Linked DNA regions of Bombyx mori. The protein of the gene in region 1 interacts with the protein of each later gene in a biochemical or structural test. Links are inferred from orthologs where the notes say so. Each region holds a gene or a part of one and is shown on either strand. Other genes may lie near its edges.

Region 1 (3,600 bases):
TCGATCAGTACTTACCGTCATATGGGCCATTGGCTATTGTATCTATTACGAAAAAAAACCACAAATACTTAAGATTAAAAGTGTTTGAAAAAACTCTAGCATTTTTTATGTGTTAATTCGAAAGTATTCTTGCCTAGCTTATTTATTCTGATGAACTGCTGCTACAATCAACGCCCTATAGGTGAACAAAATGTAATCGTTCAAAGCTCTGCCATCATTTCGTTCAGCAATTCACCATCTTCTGCTCCCCACTCCGAACGAGGAGCACTGCTGCTTGAGATACAGGTTTCATCACCTAATTCAAGCACAGATGCAAATTAAGACTGTCTTTCTACTTCTATGCTAACAATAAATAAATAAGTAATAAAAAAATGAGTATCGCCGGCAACCAGCTGTTCTTCTAGCTCTAACTTTTCTATTATTCTCATTTACAACTCCTACAAGCTGATTGAATTTTCACCGCACTCGCACATATCAGCTGTACGTTTTCACCAAGCCTTTTGGTGGGCTAATCGATATATTAGAGATAAAAACTTGTTTAAGCCTTTGCATAAGTTTTACTATTACTTCTTAAGTGAAAATAAATTTATGTGTCCTAAAGTACATATTAATTTATGATAGATATTTTTCAAAACATAAAACAATCGTCAAAGCTTAAAAACTGTTTGAATACGTATAGCAACATTCCGCCATATTGCTCAGAGTGATTTCTTTCAGGCAACGACTTCCTAAAATAGTGATCGAGAATAATCCTAAAATACAAGCCTGAAGGGAATACATGGAATTTTTAATTTATTATATTATTCATTAAATTAACTCAACTCATCTCGTCTCGTCTCGTCTCATCTCATTTCATTCATTTCATTTCATTTCACACCATGTTTCATATTAATCAACTTTATTTCATTTCATAATATCTTTTTTCATATAAAAAGTTTTCATTATAATTAAAATAAGACTTGACCTAAAAGTCTTAGTTACCAGGTCATAAAATTCTTTATTCTGCTTTCAAGAGTCAAGTTGAATTTCATTCATTCGTGAAAGAGCTACCTAGTTGCACGACGTGTCCTACAATTTGTGATAATTTTAATAATTTTTGTGAATTCCAAAAAGGTAGGAAATATTTCAATTTTTCAAAAATATCACAACTCTACTGCATGAAATAATTATTGTCAACAAGAAAAGTTTGAAAATCAAGTTTGTCATTTGTACACACAAAAAAATCTGAAACAATGACGATGTAATTTATGATCGTCGCCATTTTGTGATGACTAAAAGTCTTTGTTCTTTTGTTTTGTTCGTCAATCCATTTAATACTCCGAAATAGGGAATTCATCCGTCAATCTTCATTAAAGTTCCTTCTTTGTTCTAGAAACCACCATGCAGATTTTTGTAAAAACTCTCACTGGTAAAACCATAACATTAGAAGTCGAAGCATCCGACACCATAGAAAATGTAAAAGCAAAAATTCAAGACAAAGAGGGCATTCCTCCAGATCAGCAGCGACTGATTTTCGCTGGGAAACAACTTGAAGACGGACGGACATTATCCGATTACAATATTCAAAAAGAATCTACTCTCCATTTGGTATTACGTCTGAGAGGTGGAATGCAGATCTTTGTGAAAACACTTACCGGTAAAACCATCACACTAGAAGTTGAAGCATCTGACACCATTGAGAATGTGAAAGCCAAGATTCAGGACAAAGAGGGAATTCCCCCAGATCAGCAGCGATTGATCTTTGCGGGCAAACAGCTTGAAGATGGCCGTACATTATCTGACTACAACATCCAGAAAGAATCTACTCTGCATTTGGTGTTACGTCTCAGAGGTGGCATGCAGATCTTTGTGAAAACACTTACCGGTAAAACCATCACACTAGAAGTTGAAGCATCTGACACCATTGAGAATGTGAAAGCAAAGATTCAGGACAAAGAGGGAATTCCTCCGGATCAGCAGCGGTTGATCTTTGCGGGCAAACAGCTTGAAGATGGCCGTACACTATCCGACTACAACATCCAGAAAGAATCTACTCTGCACTTGGTTTTGAGACTGCGTGGTGGCATGCAGATCTTTGTGAAAACACTTACCGGTAAAACCATCACACTAGAAGTTGAAGCATCTGACACCATCGAAAATGTGAAAGCCAAGATTCAGGACAAAGAGGGAATTCCCCCAGATCAGCAGCGATTGATCTTTGCGGGCAAACAGCTTGAAGATGGTCGTACACTATCTGACTACAACATCCAGAAAGAATCTACTCTGCATTTGGTATTACGTCTCAGAGGTGGCATGCAGATCTTTGTGAAAACACTTACCGGTAAAACCATCACATTGGAAGTTGAAGCATCTGACACCATCGAAAATGTGAAAGCCAAGATTCAGGACAAAGAGGGAATTCCCCCAGATCAGCAGCGATTGATTTTTGCTGGCAAACAGCTTGAAGATGGTCGTACATTATCTGACTACAACATCCAGAAAGAATCTACTCTGCATTTGGTGTTACGTCTCAGAGGTGGCATGCAAATCTTTGTGAAAACACTTACCGGTAAAACCATCACACTAGAAGTTGAAGCATCTGACACCATTGAAAATGTGAAAGCAAAGATTCAGGACAAAGAGGGAATTCCCCCAGATCAGCAGCGATTGATTTTTGCGGGCAAACAGCTTGAAGATGGCCGTACATTATCTGACTACAACATCCAGAAAGAATCTACTCTGCATTTGGTGTTACGTCTCAGAGGTGGAATGCAGATTTTTGTGAAAACACTTACCGGTAAAACCATCACATTGGAAGTTGAAGCATCTGACACCATCGAAAATGTGAAAGCCAAGATTCAGGACAAAGAGGGAATTCCCCCAGATCAGCAGCGATTGATTTTTGCTGGCAAACAGCTTGAAGATGGTCGTACATTATCTGACTACAACATCCAGAAAGAATCTACTCTGCATTTGGTTTTGAGACTGCGTGGTGGCATGCAAATCTTTGTGAAAACACTTACCGGTAAAACCATCACACTAGAAGTTGAAGCATCTGACACCATAGAAAATGTGAAAGCCAAGATTCAGGACAAAGAGGGAATTCCCCCAGATCAGCAGCGATTGATTTTTGCGGGCAAACAGCTTGAAGATGGTCGTACATTATCTGACTACAACATCCAGAAAGAATCTACTCTGCATTTGGTGCTACGTCTCAGAGGTGGAATGCAGATTTTTGTGAAAACACTTACCGGTAAAACCATCACATTGGAAGTTGAAGCATCTGACACCATCGAAAATGTGAAAGCCAAGATTCAGGACAAAGAGGGAATTCCCCCAGATCAGCAGCGATTGATTTTTGCGGGCAAACAGCTTGAAGATGGTCGTACATTATCTGACTACAACATCCAGAAAGAATCTACTCTGCATTTGGTTTTGAGACTGCGTGGTGGCATGCAGATCTTTGTGAAAACACTTACCGGTAAAACCATCACACTAGAAGTTGAAGCATCTGACACCATTGAGAATGTGAAAGCCAAGATTCAGGATAAAGAGGGAATTCCCCCAGATCAGCAGCGATTGATCTTTGCGGGCAAACAGCTTGAAGATGGTCGTACACTA
Region 2 (4,520 bases), on another chromosome or scaffold:
GCACTTTCACAGATACTAAACATTTAATAAGCCACCGTTGTTACACGTTTAAACCTGAAGGAATTGGTCTTAATATTCAGGTCATACAATCCCTTGTAAAAAAGTAATTCTTCCTAACAAAAACAAAATCAGAAACACAATATGAGATGTGTAGGTATTAAATATCTATGTGTCTAGGGACACAAAATTAAGGAGACCTGTTAATACCCCCGTGCACAAAACAAAACTCTGATGTGGACGTTCCTAGATAAGGAATGTACTTTTGAGTTTGTTGGATTCGCCTCTGAACAAATAAAATACCCACACGACCAAATGGTTTGTTAGAAAAGTCATATTAAAATTTATTTTGCTAAAAGTTAAATGTAACATACTCTGGCAATAATTAGACTACCGTACTTTATGACTTAATCACGAACACTAACGATTACTTCTAACGTCTAAGAGAAGACTAAGTCATCCATGAGAACTACAACTGTAAATTACCTGTACGTAGCGCCGGAAATAATAAAACTACAATAAAAAAAAAATTGTGAAAAGACGTTGAGTTTCAAATGTGTCTACCACACGTGAAGTCGAAGAAAATCTATACTAATATTATAAAGAGGAAAGATTTGTTTGTTTGTTTGTTTCGAATAGGCTCCGAAACTACTGGACCGATTTGAAAAATTCTTTTTCCATTAGAAGCCGACATTGTCCCTGATGAACATAGGCTACTTTTTTATTTTATTTTTTATTTATTTTTTTGGTTTCATGTGTGTTTTAATGTTTCCGAAGCGAAGCGAGGGCGGGTCGCTAGTATTAGATAATAGAAAATAAACATGATTAAGGAATATAATTATAAAGGAAGTGAGCGAATGAAAAATATTAATTGAAGTGAGATATAACACCCTTAAGTGTCCATTGAGATGAATTGAAATCACCTTTCAGAATTTACTGAGCTCAATGGAGTTTTTGGAAGTTGCCGCGAATCTACGTTTAGCGATTTTGTTTCATTTCACGCATTTCTACATGTACTTCAACTGATATTAAATCATAAGTAAGCCACCATTAGGAAAGTTAAGGACCATTACATCTGAATGAACGATAAATTAACAAAATAAATCAATTCACATATTTTGCCCTCTCTCTAAAAAGTCGATGAAACAATTAATTGTTGCCAGTTTCGATTTATAAAATGTTCATGTAGATAATTAGTACAAATCAGCGATTTTTAATTTATTTCCCAATTTTGCGAACTTGCAAATTAGATAAATAAATAAATAAAAATATTCCCCAAAGATATAGTAACAAAAAGTAAGATCGGTCAAGATTATTGAACATAGGTAGCTTAGTATTTATAGCACCTTTCACTTATGTCATAATATCTCTATAGTATGTGGTAGTAAGGAACAGTAAGATAAATTAGCATCACATCTGTGATTTAATATATGGAATTTTATACGTAAATATTTAGTTTTAATTAAGAACACAGTGTGACGACCCATTAAAAATTTTAGCGCATTGTGGAATGAATGTTATAGGAATAGTTAAAGCTACCTTTGCCTAATTGGGCAGGCTAATAAAAAAAATGCAGTTTTATGTTTTGAATTTTGAAAATTTTGATAGATCAACTCGAAATCAAATTTGATAAGTAGTGAACATTTTTCTGAATAATAAAAATTGCATGCTCTGTTGTAGAAAGAGATTAATATTTCGAAATTCCTTCTCAAAACAAATAGAAAAATTCTAAAAACTTAGTGACATTTCGTTTTAGTGTAAAAGGTGATAATAACGCAAGCAAATGCTATGAGCGCCTGACATAAAGAAGGAGAAGCAGAAGCATGTCGAACGTGGAAAACGTATGTCCTCAAGCGTTGCGTGGCGTGGCACGCGAACTCCGACAGCTGGCGGCTAATCCTCCGCCGGGCATCAAACTGCAGCTGCGAGACGACGACATATCTGACATAGTCGCGCTTATCGATGGTCCCGGTAAGAATCTATTCAAATATGATACTGCCCTCACCTCCAGAACCGGTGTGACATTTCGTTAAACAAAAGGCATATCTACTTTCTCATGTCATGTAATAAATCAGAGGTGGAAAGGTAAATGGTCCAATGGCAATGTCTGGATTTGTTACATTGAAGTACATCTCAATATTCAACGTCACAGTTACAATTTATACCGATTTTTTGCTATCTGCTTGATATTTATTTTGTTTTGAATGTCATTACTTATATCTTGCAATGTCTCAATTTTGTATGGAAAATTTGGACATGATTTTTTTTCAATCTGCATCTCCCGTCTTTTAGATATTCAATAATTATGGAGTCCTTTGAAGTCATGGTCTTTCTAAAGATATATTAACAGCTGCAGATATTACATTGTCAGAACTTTGTTTAACTTATAATTTAGACCTCTGAAGAGATGAGGAATAGGAGAATCTGACACTATCTAAAAGTCATAATTTTAAGAAATGTATGATGTGTTCTTTTTGCATATGGGACTTTCTTTAAAACTAAACAATAAATAAATACCTTCATAATGAACACCACACAATATAAGCCACAGATAGGTGAACCAATTCTCAATATATACCACTGCCAGTTATGTTCAAAGTTTTCAAAAAGCTGTTGTCATGTTACATCTTACCTTTATTGGAGAAAAACAAAATCATCCCAAAGAAGTTTAGTTTTAGGACGACATATTTAGTAGTTGTGCAGTTATAGAATGATAGAGAAAATGAGAAAGTCAGGTGTTTTTAGGCCTCTCAAGCACCAGTCCTCCTCGGTTGATTACGACTAACCCATACACAGCCCACTGAGTATCTTGCTGGATCTTCTCAGTAGGTCGCAATTCTGATCTGGTGGTAAATGTTTCAAAGCACTGTTCTTGCTAGGTCTAGTGCTAGCAAATTCTCTCAGGTTGAGCCTGTGAGCTCGCCTATCTGTTCACGAGAAGCTGGAATATCTCCACAGGATACTAGCCAATAAGTAGGGAAAAATTATACATATACACATTTTTTTATGTGTATGATTTTTATGCTTTTTTTTTTCTAATTGAATTAATGTGTCAAAATATTTTTGAGCATTTTTGTATATAGTTGTTATATCTAAAGCTGTAAGCTGTAAGCTGTGTTAAGTAAAATGAGATTTTAGTATGGCCAGAGGTTTAATATTTTTTTTATTGCTTTGATGCATGGACGAGCTCACAGCCCACCTGGTGTTAAGTAGTTACTGGAGCCCATAGACATTTACAATGTAAATGCGCCACCCACCTTGAGATATAAGTTGTAAGGTCTCAGTATAGTTACAATGGCTGCCCCACCCTTCAAGTCAAAACGCATTACTGCTTCACGGCAGAAACAGGCGCGGTGGTGGTATCTACCCGTGCGAACTCACATAAGGTCCTACCACCAGTAAAAACCAGATTCAAGGGTATCAACTAAATTAATGCAAAAGTTGATGATTTCAGCGGAGACGCCGTATGAAGGGGGCGTGTTCCGCGTGCGACTCGTGCTCGGACGCGAGTTCCCCGCCAGCGCACCGCGGGCATACTTCGTCACCCGCGTCTTCCACCCCAACGTCGCCGCCGAGACTGGCGAGGTCTGCGTCAACACGCTCGCACGCGACTGGCGCCCCGAGCTCGGGCTCCGGCACGCGCTCCTCGCTCTGCGCTGTCTGCTCATCGCGCCCAACCCTGACTCGGCACTCAACGCGGAGGCCGCCGCCCTACTGCGCGACCGCTACGACGACTACTTCGCGCGCGCCAAGCTGCTCACCGACATCCACGCGACTCGCAGCCGCGCCCCCGCCCCCGCGCCCGCCGCCGCGCCCGCGCACGCGCCCGCCGCCGCGCCCGCGCACGCGCCCGCGCCGCCCGCCAAGCGCCGCCCCGCGCCTCCCCCCCGCGCAGACAAGCGCCGCATCCTGAAGCGGTTATGAGCCGTCCCGAGATCAAACGATCAGACCACGCAAATGGACTCGTCCAACACGAGCGAACTTTAAGATATTTGCAAAATTGAACTTTAAGTAGTAGGTGAACTTTTTAATAATTTAATGTGTATCTGCAAAAACTGAAATCCTTGCGTTGAGTGTGCGCTGGACAGTCTGCTGCCCTTCCCCCATCTCCTTCCCGAAGCTCTTCCCTCGCGAACGTCGAGTCACTAAATAAAATCTTACCCCAAGTTAATTGAGTTAGAATCCTCCGTGCGGCTGGAGCTGAGCTGCGAGTGGCGCGGCTGGACAGAGCGCTCTGCTGCACGTGACGCTCGGAATATAAATTCACAATATCGCTATTAAAATACGTTTCCATAGATTTAATTCCTAGATTTGTAATATTGTATTGAATTAAAATAGAATAATATATTAATAACTGTGCGTACAAAAATGCGTGTTTTAATTCATAATTATTCAAACAGTAAAAACACCAAATTTTATGCTGTTCGGATATTGAGTACCGAGTACACCGTAATCGTCCGGTGTAGTGGTGTGACGTCACATGTGGGCACGCGTGGGGACGCTGACGAGGTCAGGGCCTCCCC
Region 3 (4,520 bases), on another chromosome or scaffold:
ATATTTAAAATAAATAATATTATGTTGTCAAAATAACGGCAACAAGGATCTGTACATTGTCATATTGTTATACATAATATATAAATTGTACTGAGAGTAGGTGTGTGATTGTTTAAGTTTGTTGAACTTCTTGAACCTTAGAGGAAGTTGTGATTCGAGGTAAACAACTTACATATATCATACGTATGTTTTATTGAAGGTGATCAAATAATATTCATTTGGTTCCTTCTTCACATGTTTGTGTGTAGGCGGGAATTTGTGTTTGTGTGTGAGCGGAGTTGTTTACGCTGCGCGGCCGTGTCAATATTAGAATAATTAGGTAATTTTACATAGTTGGTTAATATTTAAAATGATTTATTTTCCATGCAGAGCTGTTGGACATCAGTAATACTAATAGTACTGCTAAACCCCTACGACCGTTCCTTACGTCACAATAAGTAAGTGTTGCAATGTTCTCGCGGTCACAGCGAGACAGAATTTTAGTCAAGTGATAGATAGTACGTGACAAAAATGATCTCTTGAAATGCAATATGGAGTATAGGAATGAGTTTAGCAAAATAAATTTAAGATTAGAAACAAAAACTCCGAGTACGTCCGATGTTTTTGTATATGTAACTATTTAACCTTGTCTGAATTCGATCATTATACATTCGACGGAATTGAAACTTTATAGACTACAATTTTGAACGGTAATTGCGTGAAAGTTACTGACAAACGGCCATCAACTGTTTCAACAAATGTTTGTTTTTTTTCAAACAATTATAGGGATGGGTATGTTGTGAACTCCTACGAAGGAGTATCTCTGTTTATTTCTACAGAAAGTTATGATTCCCAATTTGACGAGCAAGAGAGCTATGTCTTGAGGCCAATAACCATTTGTGTAACAAACTAGTCTGCCCATCGCAGATAGTAACAAAAAAACGAATGATCATTTATTTGTTGACATATTTATCTTTTTATTTATCATTTTTAGCACTACTTTGGGGATGTGATTCTATTCATTCAGCAGACAGAAATCATACAGATCAAAGGCAGCTAACAGACCAGGATCATTGGATGGTAATGCCCCTTTGAAGTTCAAACCCGAGTTGGAGGCAAAGACATAAATCAAGATGCCTTCCTACTCGCTCTGACACTTAAGCTCTCATTAGACTAACTTAGTGGTGAAAGACTGGACTTGTAAAACTGGTGATTATGGATTACATTCACTCTTGGCGATGAGCATTGAAATCTACAACCAACACATCTATGAATAGGTAATGCTTTGCTCAAGCACACAATAACTCTTCACTTGGACTTGCTGAAACAGAGTTGACCCCACATCATTGTTGCCAAACTTGTACAGTTCTGTCTGTACAAGATGGCAAGAAGGCTCTGGCCCTCATGGTCTCTATACAGTCACAAAGTGGCCCGTTTTTAAGACCCCAAAGGCAATGAAAATAGACATTACCATGGAACCGATGCCGATGCCGATTCGAGCCGATGAATTGCCAATGCTATGTACGCCATTGTTGTCACATGCATCAGGCCATAAATTAAATTGTTTAAATTTATTTTCAATGTTAGATGTTTGTGATGTGGCAGTGCTTATTTAAATAAATAAATTAAATAAATAAATAAAAAAATGGAACTACATTGGCACCCCATGACATCATAAGCACACTATTTTTTTCCAAATGCAAATTAGGTAATTAAGTTAGGAAGTGTCCATGAAATCTACATGTTTATGAATGGCATCCAGATTACTTTTAAACAATACAGAATTTTAATTTTTCTACTTTTTTCTTTTAGCGTGCATTAGTTATAGAACCCCATTTAGACTTCAACTCCATGTATCAAAGTTGAAGGCAGCATTGACACAGTGACATCCATGATCTCAAATAATCACTTATTACCTGTGCAGTAAATTGTAGAGCTGTAGATTGTTTGTAGATTGACTAAAAGTGCACAACTTGAATTAACTCTACTTACTATCTGATTATCAAATTCATTAAGCAAAGGAATTGTCCCTTAATCTGAATGAATTTGATAATTTTAACGAGTTTTATAATAAGGAGGCAGGAAAATAAGCTTTCAATTTATCTATTTTAACGGACACCATGTCCTTCAGCAAATGTTTTTACATTGTTAATTTTCTTCTTCTGCATTCATATTAGATGACTTTACCCAACTATAAGAAAATCACATTTACAAAACAAATGGTATTTTTAGTTTTTTTCAGTAGCTTTAAACAAGAAAACAAGTAACTCTCTAGGTGGGCCAAGTGTGCACCTTCTCAACAAGACACTTGATCACTACCTGGCGTAGATTTAAGTAATGAGTCATTTACTAGTATTTTACTTTTGTTCCAGAACTTTCCAACTGTTGTTACTTTGACAATTAAAAAGCAAAATTACAGCATAAGCAAACTAGTAAGCAGCTAGTTTGAAGTAAATAATTTTGAGTAATGCCTGTCAAACATAAAAGCAGAGTCAACCATCTTTAGACAGATTTTAATATTTTATGGAGTTATTTATTAATGAACTAAAAACTACTCTCTTCTAAATTTTATTATACGTTTTTTTACTGTTCATAAATCTTTTAACAATTTGAGTATTTTTTATTATTATTTAATGAGGTTTTTTTCCGAATAAATTTCTATTTTGAATTACTTACCCACATACAAAGCGGTTCCTGCATCATGAAGGTTATTATTACCACCATGCGCTCGTTCAAGTTCCTGGTGGCATTCAGGTTTAGCGCCGGCATTACTTCAGCTTGGTCTACCAGCTGCGCCTCTCCATCAGGCTCAGCCAATGCTTCCTGACGCTGTAGAGTGATATTGGCGCGCCAGTTTGGATCACTAGTCACAATCGTGGCATGATAGACAGCTATTGAAAGAAGTAAAACACTTCCCGCTGTGTAAACCTTGAGATTCGGCAAGGGCAGCCTGTCTACTAAAGTCCCGGGCATATTTGTTACTTTTTTCTACTATTGTGGTAATTTATCACTCGCGCCACAACATAGCTTAGATCTCAACGACATTTGATAATGAGTATCACCGCCGAAAATTTATTTTAGTGTACCAAAATCAAAATAAATATTACGTGTAAATAAGACAGCTCAATAGTCGACACTACACACAGACTTCAAGAGAGATAACAATATAAAGTCTTTAATCTATGAATATGATAGTGAATAGAGATGTCACCACTGATATATTCACTATCGGTCTGGGGCATAGAGTTAGTAGGTATTTATTAACTCCATGGTCTGGGGAGACTATTATTAGATCTTTACGCATGATGCCGCATAGACTACTATGGTAGTTTTCCAATTACAGCACAAGAGCGCATTATGCTCAACGTTGAATGTTCCAACTACAGCAACGCTTCGCACAATCGAGCACTCTCAAAAGTACTGCTCTCGCGTGATACTCGCAATCGATACCGACTCAGTGACAGAAAATTGACAAGTGTTTTTTCTTTAAGTTGGCATTGATCGAAATTTTGTTTATATTATCGTTAGTAATATTATTTAATGTTGAAAAAAATTGTAAGGCTTTCGTTTCGTCGTAGTTTCTTAGAAATAATCAATGTTAATTAAAACTGTGCTAACTTAGCGCACTCTGCTGATGTATTTGAAAACTAATTCACGTTCCAATTAAGCTTCAGCATAATTCGGCATTGTGCGTCACTGAGTCGCATTATGCTCTGTAATTGGAAAACTACAAATATAAAGCAATGTGTAATAGTCGTAAAAAGTGTCTAAAATGTTAAAATTACAACAGTAAGATATTTTCAAGAAACCAATAACTACGGAAAATAGAAAACCTAACTGACCCGACAAACGAAGTTTTAAGTTCCAACCACCAAGCCGTAAGAAAGAAATTATTTTGAATTTTGTTTTCTTCCAATTTTTTGTTCATAAAAAGTACAAATACTACTACAAAAGTTGAATAACTATTATTGGATAATAGTTCAGTTTGTGTAAAATGGCACTTTTAATGAAGTAAAAAAACTGGACGGGAATTCTGCAACTCTTTCAATAACTACATATATTATATACATTTAAGTTTCAGTAAATTCTCACAATTTTAGTGAAATGCTATTTCGTGTCCTTTAATTAAAACTGATTACAATTAAAAACCAACTGAATTTCATTTTACTCCGTTCCTTTTTTATATAACAAGTGTTTTATGGACTTTATAGGCAAATAATATGAAATTATCCGAAAAAAGAATGATAAGAAATATTGATTTAATAATGATATTACAGCGTACATTTGAAATTTGAACTGTACTGAAATTTACATTTTTGACTCAATAAGTGTACTGATATCACTTATTTTATCTACCTGACATTGGCAGAGTCATTCGACAAAGAAGAGAATCGAGCAATAAAAAAAAGTGTATTATTATCTATGTTTTTGACAACTGCAAAATAAACAAAGGGTTTTGTAAATGTACATTTGTTTTCAAAAGTTTATTGAATTCATATTTCCACTTCGGTTTTAAAATTATAAATTATGTAATTATTTAT

The links. The genes of interacting proteins can lie anywhere in the genome.
Region 2: of the proteins of polyubiquitin-A (region 1) and ubiquitin-conjugating enzyme E2 S, one has a biochemical effect on the other in vitro, tested with the Homo sapiens proteins (10 studies listed by BioGRID, with this or other methods). The link is inferred for Bombyx mori from reciprocal best matches to the Homo sapiens genes UBC and UBE2S.
Region 3: the proteins of polyubiquitin-A (region 1) and E3 ubiquitin-protein ligase AMFR form a complex in vitro, tested with the Homo sapiens proteins (10 studies listed by BioGRID, with this or other methods). The link is inferred for Bombyx mori from reciprocal best matches to the Homo sapiens genes UBC and AMFR.

Annotation. Positions count from the first base shown.
Region 1 is NC_085127.1:9,713,435-9,717,034, reverse strand, and holds the start of polyubiquitin-A, read left to right. Parts: upstream 1-982; 5' UTR 983-1,113; intron 1,114-1,372; 5' UTR 1,373-1,380; coding exon 1,381-3,600.
Region 2 is NC_085116.1:176,177-180,696, forward strand, and holds ubiquitin-conjugating enzyme E2 S, read left to right. Parts: upstream 1-1,495; 5' UTR 1,496-1,630; exon of another isoform or gene 1,631-1,753; 5' UTR 1,754-1,820; coding exon 1,821-1,968; intron 1,969-3,451; coding exon 3,452-3,921; 3' UTR 3,922-4,366; downstream 4,367-4,520. UniProt on the Homo sapiens protein: Accepts ubiquitin from the E1 complex and catalyzes its covalent attachment to other proteins. Catalyzes 'Lys-11'-linked polyubiquitination.
Region 3 is NC_085125.1:14,695,701-14,700,220, forward strand, and holds the start of E3 ubiquitin-protein ligase AMFR, read right to left. Parts: upstream 3,148-4,520; 5' UTR 2,953-3,147; coding exon 2,656-2,952; intron 2,593-2,655; exon of another isoform or gene 2,352-2,592; intron 1,257-2,351; exon of another isoform or gene 974-1,256; intron 438-973; exon of another isoform or gene 334-437; intron 160-333; exon of another isoform or gene 1-159. UniProt on the Homo sapiens protein: E3 ubiquitin-protein ligase that mediates the polyubiquitination of lysine and cysteine residues on target proteins, such as CD3D, CYP3A4, CFTR, INSIG1, SOAT2/ACAT2 and APOB for proteasomal degradation.